Linked DNA regions of Drosophila melanogaster. The protein of the gene in region 1 purifies or fractionates together with the protein of each later gene. This does not show direct contact. Each region holds a gene or a part of one and is shown on either strand. Other genes may lie near its edges. The genes, in order: CG1806, CG5568, Hexo1 and Synd.

Region 1 (5,151 bases):
CTCGAAAGCTCCATAAAATGGTTATTTTTAAACACAATTTAATATTCTATCACAAGAAAAGAATTATCTTAACTGAAAATCTTAGCTCCAGTAGTTATAATTTTTGGGAAAAGGGTATACAAACTTCGGCTTCCACGTTTTCAAAACTTCGCTGGCTAGTTGATTCCCAGCAAAGTAACCCAAGCCGAGTACACGTTAATGAAAGAAGTGCGACTTAAAACCCGTACTAAAACTGGATCATAATAGTAGCCGTATTCTGTTTTAATACCGATAATTGGCAATGCCCAACGTTCTAAGTCGCAAACTGTGGCAAATTGTACAAGTTAAAAAGGTGACGAACGGACTTTCGGATTTTATTTCTATAGTTGTCCTAATTCCAGGTTCAATATACCGCAATGACAAAGTGCTATTTTGGCAACAAAAAACGAAGCTCTGAAACTATAAAGAAAAATCTATAAACGAAACTGGCGATTATAGTTCAGCTAGCGGAAAAGGGAAGTCAAATTTCTCAGCTTTTTGTGGGAAGCGGAATTTTTGAAATCGCATATCTGTCAACGTAACATTTTCGATTCATTCTCAATCCAACATTGCGCATGATTAACAATTTATTATCATTATTCCGCAACATTTCGCAAAGTTGCATTGGTCCGTTGACCAGGCTTTGTCGTCATCTTCGACGTGAAAACAGTCCCCCTATTTTTTTTTCACCCATCTGACGTCAGTTTATGGTCTTTTGAGCCAGCAGCATTGCAATGCTTCAGTTGGCATATATTATTTAACATTTTTATGTAATGATATAACTAGATTAACTGCTAAATGCAAAGACAACTACAAAGCAATTCAGCGGTCTTGAAATCGAGGGCTAAACAAAAGAGTGGCCAACAAAACCTACCGTACTAACCATTTTAATCAACGTCTTAACGTCTTGCCAACTTGAATAAGAGCTTTTTATTGCTGAACCGTCCAAACCGAAAGCTTAGTATAATCAAGCTTGCGAATATCGGCTAATATATACGCAAATCCAGTTAAATGGCAAATTAGTGTTAGGTGAAATTTATCTACAAGTTACATTTCGAACACAGAACTAACGAAATACTTATGATCTATCTATGGTAAAATATTATACAAATTTAAATGTTGGCAAAACCTGGACATCTTAGGCTTGTTCTATAAACTAATAGATACTATAATTATATTATATTCATATATCTTATGAAATGCTATACATTTTATAACAAGCCAATTTTCTCAATGTTTAAATATATGGGTTCAAAAGTTTTCAGTTCATTATCAATGTAAATGGTGTGATAAAAAACGCAATTAGGCGATAATTTCATGATAATTTCATGAGCGTTATAAAATAACACAAGACCATAATTGCAGAAAATTTTTATATTTTCCAATTTTAAAGGGAGATACATATTCATATTAACACTAAATTCCACCTTCAAATGATTCTCCAAATATTCAAACCTCAGATGTAAGATATACTCATTAAATATTTTCACATATATTTAAATATTTATTAGTTTCTTCTGGGATCAGCTCTACCCCATCCACATTCCGCAGCAAACCGAAAATGTGGAAAAGCATCTGTTGCTTTTCCACACACTGAAAGTGGGCAATAGTTTTAACCTTGGCTAAAATGCCTTCTACAAGACCGCACTTTTCCCAACTCTCTCTCTCTCTAGCGATCTCAGCTTGGGTTTCGCTACCTCTCCGAGAGAGAGTGGGAGAGAGAGTAGGAGAGAGTGAGAGCGAGGTGTTGGGCAGTACCTGTGCGTTCAGGTATTTGAGGTGTAGCCATATGTGTACACACATACATGCATAGATGTGAGAGCATAAGTGGAAATGGCTCGCTTTAAAGCGCTCGATGAGAATTATTTTTAGTTTGTTTTCGCCTCTTGGTGCGTACAGTTGCACTCACGATCCGTCCAATCCGCTTATATTTTTATTTTTTATTATTTTTTTAGTTCAGCTTCAGTTCGATTTTGTTTTGATTTCAGTTCGTTTTTAGTTCAGTTTTTCTTTTTTTTTTTGTGAACGCTGCTTTCCCCGCCTTCGCTGTTCTCCATCGCAACGATTCCGAATCGGATTTTCGTTTTTCTGTTGGTACGACAAGTTTGCTCTTTATAAAGTTGTAAAGTTTTTTAGTCTGGCCCGCCCAACCGACGATCAAAAATGTTTTTTGTTGATTTCGATGTGTGTTATGTGTGTGCTTGTGTGTATATGTGTGTGTCCCTAAATAGATCGAAAGTAGTGGAGTTTGGCAATCAGAGGTTTATATATCGATTGTACAGCGGCAGAAATATCTTCGTATTTTCCCATTAAACGAACTCCGGTTCAGCGATCCGTAACTGTAGAACCCAGAAATTTTGAGAGTTCCAACAACCTGGCCAAGTAACGAAACCAGCAAATACCAATATCGTCGTTCTCTGGAATTTGTGAATAACTATCATTCCTCTCTCTCCCTCTCTCTCTCTCTGTCACGCTCTCGATGTCTGCATCTCCCTCTCGCCGATTGGGAGCATCATCAATGGGATGCCAACGACCCATTTAAAAACCGGAAAAATCTATGAAACCGGAAAAAAATGACTAATCTTAACGCACCGGTGCTTTGAATTAATAGAACTAGAAATTGTTTCAAAAACAGCTAAAATATAACAAAAACTAAATAATAATATATTGATAAGATTGCAATCTCAAAATATAAACATTTAGGATCTCATATTTACTTACGAAAATAGTTGCATATCCAGAGGCGTGGGAATTGTTATTGAAAACAACAAACCTTGAAGCATTACTTGATTATTTAAGAACTCATATTTCATATATGTAGCTGCAGTTTTGTTAACTAAACAAACATTTTTCTTGCAGCGAATGCAGCCGAGAGTACTATGCTCGTAGCACTTGGAGCGCTGCTTCCGCCTGGTTATCTCCTAGTTCCGGAATGTCCATCTAGCCAGGCGATTGGGAAGTCATGCCAGTGCAGCAAGTGCGTCCCGTGAGCACCTACGACAACTTGGGCGTCTCTCAGTCCAGGCAGCTGACGGCCGGAATGGCTGGCGAACCGGAAACGGAAGTCGAAGTGGAGCTCAATGGCAGCCACACCAGCCATAGCATAGCCGCTGTGAAGGCGGCTCTGAACGATGCCAAGTCCAAGTTCTTCGGCATCAACAACTATGAGTCACCCATGGCCAGTAAGAGTGCAGCAGTGACGACGATTGCCAAACCGGAGCCAAGATATCAAAATGTTCCGCAACGCGACGAACTGCCGGCAGTGGCTGCTCCCGATCCTCCAGCGCAACCAGCACAGCCGACGGCTCCAGTTAGCGATCATAGTAGGGCACTGCGCTATGCGACCACCTACGAACAGATTCCACTCAGCGACATGGAAGCACCGCAGGCATCGCAGGTAATTGACGCCATCTAAGCAATCGCAAAGTCCAAATCAAATGTCCAACTCTTATCCCAAAAAAGGCCGTCTACATGAGCACCACAGTGCCGCAGAACATGAAGGGCATGAAGATCGCCGGACGACATACGCCAACTCGCAACAGCCTCAGGCACAGCCGCATGATCGTTGTCAATCACAAAAACCACGACAGTAAGTACACCAGCTGTCTAGCGAAGCTATATGATGGAGTGTGTGGGTGTCACACAGTCATTGTTGATTTGGCAAAGAACAAACACATTTCGATTTCAATTACTCAAAGTTTGGCTATATGTACAGGTCTCCAGGCCACCAGGAATCTGAATATATCTCGCCAGCTTCTGGTTATGCAATTAGCTGTGGGCCTGTTCATCGTGGGTCTTGCCGTTTGGATACTAATCCTAGCCCCCAATGCGTCCATATTGATCAATCCGTATCTGAGTGGATTGTCGGTAAGATGAATGTGTGGAATGGTTGGATTAGTATGTATAATAAGAATGAACTTACCTCTCGCTCAGCTGCTATTGGCCAGCATTGCGGGGCTCATACTGCTGCGAAGGGATCACAAGATCACGGAGCACAGACCGCAGACCAATAGTTGCTACAAGGTCCTGCTGGCCGAGTCGTATGTGTTCACTGGCCTGGCGTTGATCTTCTGCTGCTTGGCCCTCGTCTGTGCGGCAATTGAGTTCGCGGAGCTCATCTCATCCGCAGACGGAGAATGTGGACCAACATCGAGCTCATTGCTTAGCTATCACAATTGCACCTGCTTGGCGGCAGGTGAGGTGGTGGCCAACTACTCCTCCGAGGCTCCAATGGCATTTGCAGTTGGTCAGGAGGAGGCGTCACAGTAAGTTTCGAACTGCAGTTATACTTAAACATTGGCATTGAGAATATTCTCATTTCTAGAAACGATGGTTGTGCCGAGCTTCGGATCGAATGGAAGTATCTGCTCGCCTTCTCCATGGCGCTCAACACTTTGGGCATTGTTGCAACATTCTTATACATAACGTTATTTATTTGTTGCCACCGCAAGCGAGAACACTTTTACACGTCTGTGTAGGGATATATTGTAACTTAAATTCAACATACTACTTAAATTATTTTTAGCAACTGATACAAATTACAAATAAATTATTTTTTATATCTAAGTACCATTAAAGTAACACAACGTTTAAAAACAAATACTGTTTGCTTTCGTGCGATAGCATCTAAAAAAAAACTAAATACTAACTTATTGAAAAATAATTTGTTAATTCATTCATATTTGAGCAATTAACGTGTTTGAATAAGTTTCTGCTGGAAAACATAATTAATACTTTGTGTAAATACTATATGTTTGGTATAGTTTGTGAAAAGAATTCGACTTTTTTAAAATCCACTAACTCCACCTGGCTTCCGAAAATCCGAGTTCACCCAGATGGTGTCGTTAGCTTGAGCGATTCCACAGATGACGGAACCGCGGTTCTCATAACGCTCGCATCGATGTCCCCTCTCCGCCAAGCTATCCACATAGCTCTGCCGTAGTCCATACTCGTAGAGCAGAACATTGGGCAGCATTTGATGATGGATGCGGCTGGCATCGATGGCGGCCTTGATGCTTGCCTCCTGCCACAGGATGCGCACGAGGAGGGGAGAGAGGGCAGAGATTATTTTGGTACCGCCAGCGGCACCCACAACCAAGCGAACGTTGCCAGTGGCGCGTTCCGTGACAATCA
Region 2 (4,275 bases), on another chromosome or scaffold:
AGGGCGTGTAAGGGGGTTCCGTTGAAGAAGCATGCATATGCCACAGCTGATTGGTGAGTCGTGTGTCTGCCCATGACCCCCACTATATCAGTTTGCCCCAAGCCCATATTCCTCATATAACTAGCCACTCGCATCGCATTCATATGAAGATCTTCGCGGGTGAGTACGATGTCCTCCGTGATCGAGATCTGGTGGTTCAATGCAAATCTATACATTTCTCTGATTTCGAGAGAAAAGAAACTCACCTGGGCAATGAGTTTCGGATTGTTTACCATATCCCCAAAGATTATCTCTCCGATTGATAAGTTTGGCGAAAATAAACTTGGTGCTTCACGACCACTCCAGATCTTGAGTTTATCATCATAAGTGCACATCGCGTTCAATAGTTTTTGTTTTACTTCCATTTCAGCCATTATAAGAAAATGCTGAGTCGATTATTAGTTTTTAAGTAAATTATGCTATTATAACCCCTCGTATCAGCAATGCTATTTCACAGCAATAATGTACATAATTACGAAAGATCAGCTGTATTAACGATTTTGTAATCGATATGTGTTTCGGTATTATTTTACTCGGCGAATATGAAAAAATGCCTAAGATGGCGAACCTCTTAAAAAGCTTACGATAAATACAACAAATACAAATACAAATACAATAAAAATACAAATACAACATAAACATTACAATAATTAAATATGCAAAACTAATTCTTCTCCATAATTCGTAAAAACTCAGCTTTTGTGGCCGCTCTGTTTGCTTTTCTATTGCCACTCTGAATAATGTGATCCACAATCAAAGCTCCTCCATTCAACTGCTTAAATTTGGCAGGTATACGTTTCCTCACATACTCCACAACATCCTGGGCCTCTAGTTGGGTTCCTTGTTTCTTGACCACTGAAGCGGCTGCCTTATCTCCATAAACGGGATCCCAAATGCCAAAGACACAAGCTTCCACAACATTTGGCATTTCAGCGATGACACTTTCAATCTCGCTGGGGTAATACATGATGGTCTGATACTTGAGCATATCCTTCAAGCGATCGATAATGAACAAATATCCATCCTCGTCCATGTAGCCCAGGTCCCCGGTGTGAAACCAGTTCTCCGAGTCCTGCATCTTCTTCGTTTCTTCCGGATTCTTGTAGTAACCAGGCCATTTCTGACCATTATTGAAGCATATCTCGCCCACGACATTGGGTCCTTGTGCTTCACCCAGCTCGTTGACTATTTTGATTTGAATGCCTCTAACCGGACGACCCACTGAATTGGGTTTCTCATCGAAGTTGAAGTTTAGGCATCCGGGGCTGTTCAACTCGGTTAGTGTATAACTGAAATTTACACATTCGTTGCTTAGACGGCTGCGAATTTTGTTCTGGACTTCCAGTGAGCAGTTTGATCCGCCGTAAAAGAAATACTTCACGGATGATAGGTCCGCCGCATAGAATTCCGGGCAATTGGACAGCATCGCCAATTGCGAGGAACTTACGAACACCATCGATATTCGATACTTCTCAATTAGGCCACACAAATTGGCAGGATCAAAGTCACAATCTTCAATTATACTAGTCAAGCTAAACACGGCTGCATTGATGGTCATCGTGATGCCTGATGCCCAATCCAAAGTGTTTGGGTTATACTGAATAATCGAGCTATCCACGGGTCTGAAAATAATAAATTAGATGGGTGTATAAAATTAAGGTGGTAATATTTACAGAAAACTCCCAATAATCTGGTGACTATTGCTAATGGTGACTGCCTTTGGAAGGCCGGATGTTCCCGAAGAGCTAAGAATGGCCAGTAGTTGATCAGTACCGTCTTTCAGTCGCACTGGTCGAAAGTTCATCTCCACGGGAGTGGTTAAAATATCCTGAATTCTCAATATTCCTGCCGGGTGATTACGCATGGTTACTATTTGTACCTGAAGGCCTTTGGTGGCTGCTTGAACTTTCTCAAACTCATCTCCATCACAGAAGATTAAGCGTGGCTTGGTTATTCCGAACAGTCTCTCGATGGCAGATTGTTCGTATTCGGTGTGTAGGGCATGATAAGGAGTTCCATTAAAGAAACAGGCATAGGCCAGAGCAGTCAAGTGAGTGGTCAACCTGCCAATGACTCCCACAAAGTCACCTTGCTCCAGACCCAGTTTACGCATATAACTTGCCACCTTCATCGCGTTTGTCTGGATGTCTTTCCAGGTCAGCTCAGTGTTTTCTGTAACTGAAATCTAAAGGTTTTGTTTCGATGAATATAAATATTGTTTCTTGTAAATTTATTAAGTACCTGGGCAGTGAGCATAGCATTGCGCTCCATTTGTTGAAAGATAATTTCTCCAATGGACAAATCTGGTGAGAATAAACTGCGTTTTTCGCCACCACTCCAGATCTTTAAGTTTTCATCAAAGGTGTTTCTTGTCTTAAAGGGCGATTTTCCCGCTTGCAATTCACCCATTTTGTATAATACGTTAAGAATTAAAATGAAGGCTTATAATTTATATATCTCTCTAACTTCTGTGATAGTAATACCATAAAAACGAAAGTGATAGACGCAAGAACTCGAATTTAAAGCTTCAAGTTAGGTCTCACCATTATCAACTGACTTATTATATCGATATTTCTTTGAGCTAAGAAAGAGATACTAAAAGTTTTGTTCATAAGTGAATTTATTTCATCTACCAATCAATTATTCCGTCACTGTTGCCATACTAATCATATTTACTATTTATGTTTACTTAAGCAATGATTAATTGCCAAGACTGTTTTCATGACCGCTGATAATCCGATTTTGAGATTGCATCCCATAGTAAAATACTCAAAAAGATGTCGAAAAGTGTTTCAGCAAATGGTCAGCTGGGCTGGACTGGAATCTCCACCACCACCAACAATAAGATTATGATAATGGGCAGCCGTCAAAGAGAGGATTATGGGTTTTGGAAAACAAGTGGATTAAGGGGTTGACAATTGGGGGAATGTGCTGTCAGGAATTTGGCTTTTGCGTTTTGCATTTGTTTTTACGATTATGACCGACATGGATGGATCGGAATCGAAATCGTTCAGTTCTGCTCTGTCCCATTATGATGCGCTATTTTGAGTGACCCTGTCCTCCGCAAACATAGCGAAACTAATAAGTAAAATGTGTTTTTCAAACATTGATTTCGGCCAGTGCGTGGTGGGTGGTGTTTTAGGAAACACACACACACACACCCCCTTTTCGAGACGACAACATTTGTCATAAGGCCAAGACAGCCTCAACAGTTGTTGGCGATTATCATTTTGACAGTTGCTTCTCGCTTCGCTTTTGTTTCAGTTCCCTTGGCTGCGTTTTGGGCCTTGATTTATGCATTTTTAAGCGGTTCACTTATTGTTTCTGCGCACAAATATGGCCAAGTATCTCGGTATCTGCGAGATACAATCCCCTAGTCAGCCCTTGCCGCGTAATTTGTTGATTTATTGCAAGGCTGCCACTGCAGGCATCTTCATTAAGCAGCACTAGCTTCCGTTTTTTATCCGGCCACGCCCGTCGTCTTGCAGCGCCCACGATTCGCTTTCATTATCATTATCCTGCCGGCATTGTCCTTAGCCTCGTTTGTCATGCTCGGTGCGTCTGCTTAAGTTTTCGCACGCTCCAACGCCTCGGCTTCCTTGGCGCAGCCTTCAAGATGTGGAAATTGAATTGAAAACGTGCTGAAGCGTTAAATGCTCTTGTGTCAACTGCTTCCAATCCACCCAAACCTCCTCGCCCCCAAATGTCCTTCTGTCCATCACATTTCGTCCTGTGTGTGTGGCGACATATGAGAATTTGTAACCTCAGCACAAGCTGGTCCGAAGTTGCGGCTGCGTCGGCCGTTCTCCGCTCGCCCCCCAAAAAGTTCCCGGCCAAGTGGCAAGTGGCAAGCAAGCGGGCCATAATTAATTCCAAATTGCATCCGCAAAGGATTGCCAAGTTTCGCTGGCCAAAACTTATCGAAGGTACGATGCAGAGTGTGTTGCTTAAGGGATTACCGAAAATCTGCTTTTCAATATTGCTCATCTCTTTAAGAGCTAAGTAACTGTTCAGGAGCAAGAAAATTCTTACCCAATGTAATTTATTTGTAATTTTTTTTATATTTATAGCCTAAAAGTATGCTATTGCGTTTTATAAAGTTCCATATTTGGCCGGTAATGATGATGGCGCTATTCTACTTTGTACTAAAATTATATCGGCGACATCTAGCGAACATTGTGTGAAGTCGCAGCAGCTACGAAACGCCATCTGCTGGTCGAGCTGAGTTTCATAGCT
Region 3 (4,645 bases), on another chromosome or scaffold:
TTTGTAAATTGTTGATTTCTCGCAGCAGAAAGTTTTTTTTCGTAGAGCTAAATAATAAAAAAAAACATTCGAAATGGATCCAGCACTGCTTCGCGAACGCGAGGCCTTCAAAAAGCGGGCGATGGCCACGCCCACGTGAGTACCGCACTTGTGGCCCCTCTGATAAAGATTGCTTCTCGAAAATTACATGCTATCCTTTTAAAATAGCGTGGAAAAGAAGTCCAAGCCCGATAGACCAGCTCCACCGCCGCCTAGCGATGATTCCAGGCGCAAAATGCGCCCGCCCAATGCTCCCAGGCTGGATGCCACAACGTAAGTTCCTTGAGAGCCTCTGCTACTGCCAGAAATGGTTCTTAACCATGTGGAACTCTTGCATTCCATACTTAGATACAAGACCATGTCCGGCAGTTCCCAGTACCGCTTTGGAGTGCTGGCCAAGATTGTGAAATTCATGCGCACACGTCACCAGGACGGCGACGACCATCCCCTGACCATCGATGAGATTCTGGACGAGACCAACCAGCTGGACATTGGGCAATCCGTTAAGAATGTTAGCTACAGTGCGTGATAAGTTGTGGCAGGTTATTAAACCATTATTCCTCTATTTTAGTGGCTTGCTAGCGAGGCTCTGCACAACAATCCCAAGGTGGAAGCCAGTCCATGTGGCACCAAGTTCAGTTTCAAGCCAGTCTACAAGATCAAGGATGGCAAAACGCTGATGCGTCTGCTCAAGCAACATGATTTAAAGGGCCTGGGCGGCATTTTGCTGGACGATGTCCAGGAATCTCTACCACACTGCGAAAAGGTGCTGAAGAACCGATCAGCCGAAATACTTTTTGTTGTTAGACCCATTGACAAAAAGAAGATTTTATTTTACAATGACAGGACTGCTAATTTTTCGGTGGGTTATAAACACACTCTTCTAAAATCCCAGCCTAATCAATTGTACCGTCTCAGGTGGACGACGAGTTCCAGAAGCTATGGCGCTCGGCTACGGTCGATGCAATGGACGACGCCAAGATTGACGAGTACCTCGAGAAGCAGGGCATTCGCTCCATGCAGGACCATGGCCTCAAGAAAGCAATTCCCAAGCGCAAGAAGGCGGCCAACAAGAAGCGGCAGTTCAAGAAGCCCAGAGACAACGAACATTTGGCCGACGTTCTGGAGGTCTACGAGGATAACACACTAACGCTGAAGGGTGTGAACCCAACGTAGAATAGAGACATTAGATTATACAAATAAAAACCACTCTCAATGGAATTAAGTACACTCGAAACTGGATGTTATAAATTTGTTTAACCACTGCCAATCTAATTAAGAATCCGCTGTGGCCGAAATCTCATTCCTCAAGATTTATAGTACCAGATTGCTGTTCTGCCTGTGGCATTGAACTTAAAAATATGACGACCGGCACAGGGAAAGATAATTAAAAAGCAAAACTATGTAATCTTTTCCTGACATTCCCCATTGCTTTCCACACCTGATGGCTGGTGGTGTGCGTGTACGAGGGCCAGAATCGATGCTGGTGGGCAGTTAAATTGGCAACAGAGGGAAGCCGTAGCTTTAGTCTGCACTGAACAGCAGCCAAGTTCAGTTGGAATCGATTTGGAATAACCTATATTTTGGTACGGCGGTTGTGCGGGCTTATCAGGAAAATTATCTATATATTGGACTCTACAAATCTAAAAAAAGATTGTGTTGCTATTTGTAATCTATTAAGATTATAACAAGAGATCCGATATTCAGTATAGACAAAAATATAGCTCATACGACTCGTAAATCAGTCATATTGCAAACTATCGTTCGTCCTCTAACTTGTTCAATTTAAAAGATAGGGTATTCATAAGTGGACTTGCATGAAATCCGATTCTTTGTTTACTTGGCTTGACTCTTTGGCACGGACAATGAGCTCTCTACTCGGCGGCAAAAACTTGTTTTGAAATACTCAATTTGTTTAATTATCATTCCCGAAGCATTCGCCAGTTGGTTTTGAGAGTTTCTGTGCTGAGGTTGACGAAATGAAGTCGACGCGGACTGCACTTGGAGTGGCCCTGCTCCTGGCCCTGGTGTCTCAACTGGCGGCCCACAGCTCGGAGTGAGTAAATCAAACCTCGTATGCTATATAGATTAGGTCACTGACTTTCTCTTTGACTTGATTCCCGCATCCAGTGACTTGGTTTACGGCTACGAGTGCCGCAGTGGCTACTGCCAGAAGGTAGAGCTCAGCGAGGAGAACTACGTCAAGGCCATCAGTCTGCCCGTGTGCCGGCTCTTCTGCGGCAGCTCCATCGGCACCTTGTGGCCCAAACCGACGGGCACTGTGCGTCTGGACACGTTGATGCGCCAAGTGGACATCTCCTTCATTGATTTCAATTTCAATGGAATTGCCCGCCAGCAGAAGCTATGGCGAGCGGTTGAAGACCGTTTCATGAACATGCTCGAAGCCCAGATTCCGGATCGCAAGGTTCTGGCACGAGGTGGCTACCGTATGTCTGTGAACATCAATACTCCGGATGAGCCGACACCGGCCAGACTCACCCTGGATACGGATGAGAGCTATACGCTGGACATTGATACGGATGCCTCGGGTCATGTGCTGGCCAACATAACCGCGTCCAACTTCTTTGGAGCCCGTCATGGCCTGGAGACACTAGCCCAGTTGATTGTCTACGATGACATCCGCCGCGAGGTTCAGGTGACTGCCAATGCCACCATCAACGATGCTCCCGTGTACAAATGGCGTGGATTGCTCCTGGACACCTCCCGTAACTACTACTCTGTGAAGTCCATCAAGAGGACGTTGGGTAAGGCAATGGTTCAGGAAAGAGGCAGGGGAGGGTTATGTTTTCCGTTGACTCTATGAGTATCCTTTTTTCCTCCTTAGAGGGCATGGCCTTGGTCAAACTGAACACCTTCCACTGGCACATCACGGACTCGCACAGCTTCCCATTGGAGGTGAAGAAGCGTCCGGAGCTGCACAAGCTGGGAGCCTATTCCCAACGGCAGGTGTACACCCGTCGGGACGTGGCCGAGGTTGTGGAGTACGGCCGCGTGCGAGGCATCCGTGTTATGCCAGAGTTCGATGCCCCTGCCCATGTGGGTGAGGGCTGGCAGCACAAGAACATGACCGCCTGCTTCAATGCCCAGCCATGGAAGTCGTTCTGCGTTGAGCCACCGTGTGGCCAACTCGATCCCACTGTGAACGAAATGTACGATGTGCTGGAGGACATTTACGGCACCATGTTCGATCAGTTCAACCCGGATATCTTCCACATGGGCGGCGATGAAGTGTCAACCAGCTGCTGGAACAGCAGCCAGCCCATCCAGCAGTGGATGAAGAAACAGGGTTGGGGCCTGGAGACCGCCGACTTTATGCGCTTGTGGGGACACTTCCAGACGGAGGCTCTTGGTCGCGTGGACAAGGTGGCCAATGGTACGCACACGCCCATCATTCTGTGGACTAGTGGACTCACTGAGGAGCCCTTCATTGACGAGTATCTGAACCCAGAGCGTTACATCATTCAGATCTGGACCACTGGTGTAGATCCGAAGGTAAAGAAGATTCTGGAGCGGGGCTACAAGATCATTGTGTCCAACTACGATGCCCTGTACTTGGATTGCGGCGGAGCTGGCTGGGTGACCGATGGAAACAACTGGTGCTCCCCCTACATTGGCTGGCAGAAGGTGTACGACAATAGTTTGAAATCCATTGCCGGCGACTACGAGCATCATGTATTGGGCGCGGAGGGAGCCATTTGGTCAGAGCAGATCGACGAGCACACACTGGACAACCGCTTCTGGCCCAGGGCCAGTGCCCTGGCCGAACGACTTTGGTCAAATCCTGCCGAAGGTTGGCGCCAGGCGGAGTCACGTCTGCTGCTCCACCGCCAGCGACTGGTGGACAATGGTCTGGGCGCAGAGGCCATGCAGCCGCAGTGGTGCCTGCAAAACGAGCACGAGTGTCCCATTGACGCGTACGATGCACAAGTTTGACCAGCTATTAAACCATTTCTCTTAACGGTCGCTATCCTTGTAGATGTAGTCGGGGCAGCGGGCGGCTTGGGTTGATCGTCCTGTTGCTTCTCACAACGCTCTCTGCCTGAAAATAAAGTACAGCTCAAAGGTGGCCTTACGCAAGTGACTTGTCGTTTATTTTGTTAAATATAAATGAGATTATTGGCCCTGCTCTGCGCCCTTTTCCGATTCAAAGCGGCAGAATGTCGGAAATAGTGAGGGAAATCCGTACAGACTCGACGATTTTTTCGAATATGAACAGTAGCAGAGTTGGACATTTTACGCTTCAATGTGTGGGGTGAGGATTTGCGAGTGATGGTGTCCTCGGCCTCAAGCATAAACTCCTTGGACTCCTGATTATGTACGTAATGAGTCTAGATACTAAAAGCTGCGTTCCCTTGTGCAATAATTTGAATGGAAGCTTTACTCATTCCACTCTTCCTCGTTGCGTCCAAACTTGTAGACCAAACTGGCGAACAGGATGAAGACGTTTTGCATCAGCAGAGCCACGCCAAACCAGCCATCCTTCTTTTCTGAAAAACGATAAGTGGGTGCAATTCAGCTAAGGAATCCTTAAATATCTGTTTATTTCTCACCATTGTTGATGAAGTCGTCGATCATCACCCAGATG
Region 4 (8,021 bases), on another chromosome or scaffold:
AGCGCCGGCAACCGCCGCCGATGTTTTGGCTTCCGATGTGGTGACTGAGGATTGCGTGGTCGCTATTTCGCTCTTCACACTCGCTCTGCTGCTGACACTGCTCAAGGTGCTGGTGTTCTTCTTCAGGCTGTTTGTCTGGGGGTATTCCTGCTAAAGAGCTGGCTTAGTCTGATATTAACTACTGGGTAGTCAACTGGCTTACGTGCACATCCTCGGCCACAGGTCGCTGGTTGATGAGCGTGATGGGTGCTGCCGGCAGTGCCTCTTTTGATTTGTTGCCCTTGGCAATGTCACGGAACTCCTCCGTATATTCCTGTCAACAAATAGGAAGTTCTTCCATTAGCGGCCACACTGGGCTTCAGTAAAAACAGAAAACTCACCACAAATGATGGCCAATTCATGGCCATGTTAATGCCATGATTGTTCGACCACCATTTTAGGTCTTTCTGCTGGTCTGCATTGTTGATCGTGTGGGAGAACTCCTCGTAGATTTGGGGCAGGCTGTAAGTCATGTAAAAGTTATTTAAATGGATCAGTTAAACTCAAATCAAATTCAATTCGCACCTTTGCACTTTTGTGAGGTCCAGGCACGAGTGCACGTTGAACAGGATTTCTTTGAAGAACTGCAAACGCGTCTTCTCAAAGGTTTGGCACTTTTCAAACACGGATGTCATGTCCTCGATGTACACCGAATTGTATTTGGTGATTTCGGCAATCGCCTGCTCGTACTTTTCCCGGCACTTTTGCACTTGATCTTTGGTCTTTTGCACTCGATCGTGCATTTTCTTCACCTAATTAGGAAATGAGAAGTGGTGTGAGCATAAAATTAATAAATAAATTAAATTAATAGTTATACATACATATGTATAACTAAACTATTGCTTTTACAAAAAAGATCCTTACCTGATCCGGCGACAACGAGCTATCGGCATTGGCATTGCGTTCCTGATTGGTAGCACTGCGCTCCGTCTTGCAGGCCGAATGGTAGTCCGCTTTGGCCTTCTCGACCTTTGCCAGCAGCTTGGCCCAGGGTTTCTGGGCCTTCTTGAACAGATCCTCCAGGTCCTTGCGCTCCTTGATCTGCATAAGCGTGTGGTGGTAGTTCTCCTTCTGCCACGTCTTTATCTGGCTGTTCACATCGTTGCAGAGATTGTCCTTGATCTTCATGTGAACGTCGGAGATGCGTTCCGATTCCGTCAGAACGCCCTTCCAGGCTGCCTCCGTGGTTCCGTATTCCGGGCCTGAAACAAATCAGACATTCGTTATATATCTCTTTTAGCGTTTCTCAATTAACAACAGATTACAAGCGTGTCACCCTGTCGAGCTGTTTGCGGCTGACGTCATCGTGAGCCCCGCGGGTACTTGGTTTATCTAATCAGCCGCAGCCGCAAGATATATACAAACATACATATGTAGCCATATCTATAGGTATAGCAAATATAAAATGCCCGAAGAATAAGCGCTTGTATGGGTGCTGCGATGGAGGAACATCGTACATTTTTGGCATTTTTTATTGGGACCCCAAACACACGGCAATCAAGTTGATATGATGCTCGTCTTATAATTGGCAGTGCACGGAACTCGTTTGCCTAACGACTCACTATTCCCAATTCCCCCTGTGAAAAGGCACACAAACAGATATATAGAAATTGAGACGCTTAGCACACAAATAACTCGTTCTATTTTCTCGTCGCATTGATTTTTGAAACCATTTCAAGCGACGCTCTGGTGCCGGTTTGCTTTGGTGCCGAGTTATGGGCCACTGTCCAGCGCTTCTGCCTCCCAGTCTCCGTATCTGTAACTGTGAACGTATCTGTATCTGTATTTGTATCTGCACACGTATTCGTATCTGTATCTTTGGCTAGACGCGGCTAGGCAAATTCCTCGCAAATAAGAAAACTCGAAGAGCACTCGGAGGCGGAGGAAGTGATGGTAGTCGCTTTTGCAATTGCCCATCGCTGGTTACTGTGAAAGTGGACACTGAGAATTCCGTGCAGAGGCGGTCACAGAAAATAGCAGCAATAGAAGCAAACAGTACCAATGGGGCAAAGCGGTTTCCAACTTCGCAAGCGCTGTACTCGATTTCATTTTACGAAGAAGCGCGCACACTGTGCCGGACATCCGCTAAAAATGGTCAAAGACCCAATTCCGAAAACAATGAGTGAGTCGATGATTACCGCCGTTTTCGAAAATAGTATTTGGTAGTGTGTACTTATAGAAGTACATATATGAGGCAATAGCAAGGTAATAAAACCTTAAGAACCCATATAACTTATATATCAAAAAATAAAAATTGTATATTACTATAAAGCAGAAACCCACAGATATTTGATTCTTTATTTATTTATTATTTTCTCTTGTACAAACTTAAGATTTCCGCTGCCGAATTTTAATTGTTTAGAATGAAGAGTGTGAAGAGTGTATGCATATGTTTATGTTAGTTAATCCAAACACTTTGCCAGCCCCGCTCATTAACATACTTAAATAAATTGGTGTGGCGATTTTGAACCACAGTGCGCAGCTTTTGCAGAATACAACCGACAAAAACGAGGTAACGAAAAACGTAAAAAAAACCATTAATAGCTTAAGCCACTTATCGCACAACGGCAACAACAATGCTCAGAATGATGTACAGAATGTAGAAAATAAGAACAGCCAGTGGGCCAAATAAGTGGTGGGAATTCAACGTGAGCGGGTCACTTGATGCTCCACTGGGCTTTTAGCTCGTGAATGAATGTGTTGGCCAACAGAAGGCTTCCACGACTGATGATGTCTCATCCCACAGGCCACAGCCACCCACATCCCCATATCTCACCAGATCCCCACCTGCCGCTCACTTACCTTTCTCAATGAGTTCACCCCATTTCTTTGACCAGGTGCGCAGGCTTTTCGCATATCCCTTCTCGATGTCGGCACGCTCCTGAATCAGTTGCTGTAGGTCATTGCAGAGTCTGCGGGCGAAATGAGACAAGAATCATAATAATGCAAACCGGTTTGAATTTTTGTCTTGGGTTTGGGCTTCGGGTGTCGATATATTCGGCTGGCAATGACCCAGCGTCGCCCAGTGCAAATACACAGAGAGAACCCATTACCTATTTGCTTAAAAAGATTGATTGTATCACTAGAAATCAAAGCTCATTAAAAAAGTTTATGAAATGTCCACATAAGTAGAACAAATTGAGTTAATACTAAGACCAATGCTTATACCAAGGTCTTTATATTTTCTTATTTTTTTCCCTTAAATAAATACGAATTGCTGTAAGTTTGCATTCAAAACAATGTGATGACACTGCATGACCTACTAAACACACAGAAAAGATACAGTTACCAATACCAATTGGTATGACAGAAACGTTGAAAAACGATTGGGTTGCAGCTACGAATATGTTTTTGAATATTAAGCCAATTGTATTATGTCGAGGAATTCGACTGACATAATGGCAAAATAAAGTATCTCTCTGTGCACCAAGACTCCCTGGGGATTATCCACTCACTTGTAACCATCCTCGATCCGCTTGGTGGTGCGTTTGTAGTTGCCGGGCTCCCAGAAGGAATCGCTTCCAGCCTGGAGGAGCTGATCATCGCTGTGGTGGGACATTTCCTGTGGATTCCAATCAATATTAATCAATCACATACGACGGGCTTAAGCGCAATAATCGTAAAATATGAGTTTTGTTACGTAAATAGACACTGCAGACATAAACAACTTCCACACAGCAGCAACAACAAAAAGCTCTTTGTTTATACGCAAACTTGTATTTTTGTAGTGTTTGGCTAAGACCAACAAATCGTTTGTTAAACGACATACTATAGTAAACCCAAACGAGACGGGCTCTGAGTAAATTTATTGTTTGCCTAATTTGTTCAATTAAGAAATTCCTTCACATTGATGCAACAGGCAGAACTTTAATTACTGGAGCCTTATCAACGACCATATTTCTTGACGGTTTCGCCGAGTGTCCCCATTGATAAAGACTGGACTTATCACCCCTGACTCATTGTGCAACTTTGCATGGTGTTCTGCCAATGGGTTTACTATTTTCAAATTGGAATATTAAGGTAATGTCTTATTTTAATTGAAAAAATTTTCTTCGAAACTAAAAAATAAACATATTTTTAACCATATTAAGATAAATAAATATTTGTAATTTATTTTGAATTCGATTATTTTTAGTATCGCTTTCAAATATTATTTCTGTTTTTTGAGATAAATAGATAATGTTGACAGATTTTCTTTCTGTGTAGCATACATTTTCCACCGTAATAGTTTCATCTTATCAAGGGAATTCTCATGCACCCATATTTTGTAACCCAGATAAATGAGATCCCAAAAATTGAATTTGAAATTTAATATACATACACGCTTCAGGTGTTCTGCATTTCTGATTGTACGCTGAACAGTTGATACGCTTGTTTTTACTCCGGACAAATTCGAAAATTAGAATTCGAAGCAATTCTAACAATTTGGCGTTCTGCTTGCTTTGATAGTGCTTTTTTCTTTCCTTTGAAGTTATTCCCATATGCCTCTGGAACCTTCAAATATCTATCAACAGTTCTGCAGCTGCGATTTATCTGTTTGGCAATGTTCCGATTAGGCAATCCTTGCGAGTGTAGGAAGTCTACTTTTTGACGTTCCAATAAGCAGCAGCTTTACCCATTTTTTCTTCAAATGTAGCTCGAAAACACTTTATTCGTTTATTTGTTATATTTTTTCAATACAACAGTTTATACTTGTCCACGCAATACGAAGAAATTTAAGCTGCATCTAATTCAATGACCAACAGAAAACTTTGATAAGAAAAGCATTTTGGACAATTAAAAAAAGCATGCAAATAAATGATCGATTTTGTTAAAAAAAAAACGATTGTGCGTCTAACCTAAGAGCAGCAGTGTACATCGTATTGGAGACCCTTACGTGTGACAACATTTAACATTTCAATTCTCTCTGTGTAGCGAGCTAAATTTTTTCATACTCGGCGATGGGAAATCTTGGTATCTTATCAGTGGAGTGGAGTTTCCCTGCATCAGCTGTTTGTAAACAATGCAGTCAGTTTGAGTTCCACTCGCACACACCCGTATGGTGAATAACGGTTATGTTATCAGCAGCATTGACCGGTTATATACATGCTTTCTTATTTATATATGTATAATAACCTCTGCTGAAGTTTAATCACCTACACACATGTGTAGATTGGTGATGTTGGGTCTGCTGAATGTGGAATCTTGTATCTTGGGTTGACTTGATTTGGGCGTCATCGACTCACGATGCGCTTACGGATTTTCCCCATCATCGGCTATAAATATAAATATAGGATCGCGGCTCAGTGCGATTTTCGTGTTTTGCGTGTGGAAATGGCCAGCAGAAAGTTTACAAACAGGTTGACGCATACTTCGCATATTTGTGGAGATAGATAAGCACCTTTACGGCGCTCTCACAAGCACTCGCGCCACACACACACACACACATACGTATATGCACATCTAAACCAACACGTCGCACACTTAGGCGATAAGAAATCCCCCTCCGCCAAACAACCAAGAAACTCGTTTATCTTTGAGATTGAACTTGTCTCGACCGTTTCTACTGTAAATATTTGCATCGTTTTCCAGCACACCTTACATAAGGTTTTCTTGGGGCGCTGCTATTAAAATGCTTTCGCTGTGCACTAATTTTTAGCAGGCGAAGCGTACGAAGAGCACTTGCTGGCCGATTGGATTTTGTTGTTGCCAGACGCACACCGACACGCACACACGCTCGGCTAGGTCACACAAACACACGGGAAGCGAAATTCCGCTACACCCAAACGCGTTTACATGAAATGTTCTGTTCTAAATTGCGATCGCTTTTGTTGTTGCTGCTGCTGCAGCTGCACTGCATTTAAATGGTTGTTAAATAATCCTTGGCTTTGGGTCTCTGGCACTTGTTCATACCGAAGCAGGGCGACAACCTACCAATAACAAAATAGCGTAAAAAAGCACTACAACTCGAGTGTGTGTCTGGAATCGCCAACTAAAAAAACTATGTGAGGTGTGACCGTTTCGCGACCATTCAAATACACCTCGCGGCTAGCTGAAAATACCGCTCCATACGAATACAAAAATACCGAAATGTATTTAGGATATACATTTATTTTTAAGACATCTGTACATATTTTTAAGTACTAGTTACAGTACTAGCACAAAGTCAAGTTTTACTTAAACCAATTTGTTCTTTAAGTCCTTAAAATACTGAAGTTTCCAATCAAAATGTGTACACTAATTATACATAGTTGTATTTAAATTCCAAGTAAAATAAAACAATAAAATAACAATCAATCTATAGTCAATACCGCTCCAAATTTTGTGGACAATATAAAAACAGAATTATTTTGAAATGTTTATTTTAGAGGATTGCTTAAAGGACTTCTTCCCGCGCCACATACGACAGCATAAACTCGATTTTGCGAACCAGTTGCGCCAGTTTGGTGCGATCCAATTGCACACTTCCGCTGGCCAAAGCGAACAGCTTCTGGAACTCGGCTTCCTGGGTATTCTTACGGCGACTGATTGCCTTCGTCTGCTGCAGCAGATAGAGAACATCACTAAGGGCGGCCAACTTGTGCTCCTTCGTAGCCATCAACTGGCGGGCATCCTGCTGCAGCTGCTCCCTGTTGTCGACGAGGAAATTGGCACCTCCTGCAGCACTTCCAACTGCAGCCGCGCCGGCAGGACCATTACCCGTGGTGATGGCTTCCATCTCTACGGAGACAATAGCGTCCTCAGCATCCTCGAAGTTGGTGCCGTACTTTAAGGTGGCGCTGAGATTGACAAGGTGGGCCACTGCCTCGCTGGCATTGGTCCTCTGTTCGCCGCCAAAGAAACGAGCCACACAGGCGTAGGCGCTTAGTATGTTCCACAAATTGTAGTGCAGGCACGGAGACGGAGTTTTCTTGCATATATCGGAGAATTTGGCAATGCTCCCGAAAATTTCGGGAACACGGCTCTCTTTCTTGGCAGCTTCTTCGGGTGTAGGTATAATCACAATCTTAGAGTTCTTCGGCTTGATCCACCAGGGCTTGTAGTCTGGCATAAGCTTCATGATATCTCCATTGGTGATCAATTTCTGGAACTCATCTTGCTCCTCTGTAGTTAACCGGCTCCAAACTTCATCCGCATCGTTGATATCAACGCCTTTCAGTCGAGTTGCAATGTCTTCCTCCAGGTCTTCATCCAGTATGTCCCCCTCGGTGACGTTTTCTTCCGCCTCATCTTCTTCTGACTCTCCTTCCTCGCCTCCATCCGAGTCCAAACTATTTTCCAGGCCATCTGTATCAAATTCCTGGGGATTGAAACCACTGTCCGTTTCTCTCATCCTCTTCAGTATGTCGTATATTTTCCGCATGTCCTCCTGGCTTTCCTGCGTTACCGTGTTTTGGGTCAGCTCGTCCTGAATGCAGGACTTGTAGAAAGCCTCGGAACATTTAAGGTGCTCCTTGGACTTGTAGCATCCCACGCTGCAATACAAAGCATTGCACTTGGGACAGGTGTACTTGAAGGACACCTCGCGACAGCTGCAGGAGATTAATATATATTGAACCGCTATAATTAATATTACTTGTTAACTACTTACAAGTGACACTTTTCATCGGCTTCCGACATGGTCAAACAAAATGGAATAAACAAAATAGTGCGGTCGCCAACAGCTGATCGCTGTAGTGTGACCGTAACCACGATTCGTTAAGTAACGGCTTTTCAAATGGATAAGTTTTTATTTTGTTGTAAACAAAATAAAGTTGTTTGTAAACAAATTATACGACTTAGATATTATAAGAGTTGGATTTAATTTGAATTACGCAATTTCTCTTGTTTTTTACATAGGAATTTATTAGCAAATAACTATGTATATCAAATATGAACCTTAAAGATAAAATATATTTAAATATTAACTAGTTAGTCTTTTTACAAAAATTCGTTGTAACTAAACAATACACCTATCAACTACGAACATCAATGAAAAGAGAATAATAATATATTATTTAAGT

Evidence for each region.
Region 2: the proteins of CG1806 (region 1) and CG5568 purify together in Drosophila melanogaster (affinity purification with mass spectrometry, with the first as the bait; one large-scale study listed by BioGRID). This does not show direct contact.
Region 3: the proteins of CG1806 (region 1) and Hexo1 purify together in Drosophila melanogaster (affinity purification with mass spectrometry, with the first as the bait; one large-scale study listed by BioGRID). This does not show direct contact.
Region 4: the proteins of CG1806 (region 1) and Synd purify together in Drosophila melanogaster (affinity purification with mass spectrometry, with the first as the bait; one large-scale study listed by BioGRID). This does not show direct contact.

What each region holds. Positions count from the first base shown.
Region 1 is NC_004354.4:12,005,290-12,010,440, forward strand, and holds CG1806 (uncharacterized protein), read left to right. Parts: upstream 1-1,886; 5' UTR 1,887-2,112; intron 2,113-2,877; 5' UTR 2,878-2,980; coding exon 2,981-3,415; intron 3,416-3,480; coding exon 3,481-3,607; intron 3,608-3,733; coding exon 3,734-3,885; intron 3,886-3,951; coding exon 3,952-4,283; intron 4,284-4,342; coding exon 4,343-4,496; 3' UTR 4,497-4,615; downstream 4,616-5,151. Other genes in the region: CG1492 (uncharacterized protein), read right to left, coding at 4,805-5,151.
Region 2 is NT_037436.4:5,869,771-5,874,045, reverse strand, and holds CG5568 (uncharacterized protein), read right to left. Parts: upstream 2,546-4,275; 5' UTR 2,449-2,545; coding exon 2,281-2,448; intron 2,225-2,280; coding exon 1,713-2,224; intron 1,662-1,712; coding exon 704-1,661; 3' UTR 528-703; downstream 1-527. Other genes in the region: CG18586 (uncharacterized protein), read right to left, coding at 1-188, 246-413.
Region 3 is NT_037436.4:4,287,077-4,291,721, forward strand, and holds Hexo1 (hexosaminidase 1), read left to right. Parts: upstream 1-1,564; 5' UTR 1,565-1,625; intron 1,626-1,831; exon of another isoform or gene 1,832-1,973; 5' UTR 1,974-2,018; coding exon 2,019-2,095; intron 2,096-2,169; coding exon 2,170-2,804; intron 2,805-2,884; coding exon 2,885-3,974; coding exon of another isoform or gene 3,975-3,993; exon of another isoform or gene 3,994-4,036; coding exon 4,037-4,103; 3' UTR 4,104-4,135; downstream 4,136-4,645. Other genes in the region: TfIIEbeta (transcription factor IIEbeta), read left to right, coding at 74-135, 208-312, 388-550, 611-901, 958-1,215; CG15012 (uncharacterized protein), read right to left, coding at 4,438-4,547, 4,611-4,645.
Region 4 is NT_033777.3:20,830,805-20,838,825, reverse strand, and holds the start of Synd (syndapin), read right to left. Parts: upstream 6,028-8,021; 5' UTR 5,953-6,027; intron 4,430-5,952; exon of another isoform or gene 4,361-4,429; intron 3,602-4,360; 5' UTR 3,599-3,601; coding exon 3,495-3,598; intron 2,952-3,494; coding exon 2,842-2,951; intron 1,242-2,841; coding exon 904-1,241; intron 792-903; coding exon 565-791; intron 502-564; coding exon 381-501; intron 314-380; coding exon 203-313; intron 151-202; coding exon 1-150. Other genes in the region: CG31223 (uncharacterized protein), read right to left, coding at 6,395-7,550, 7,610-7,638.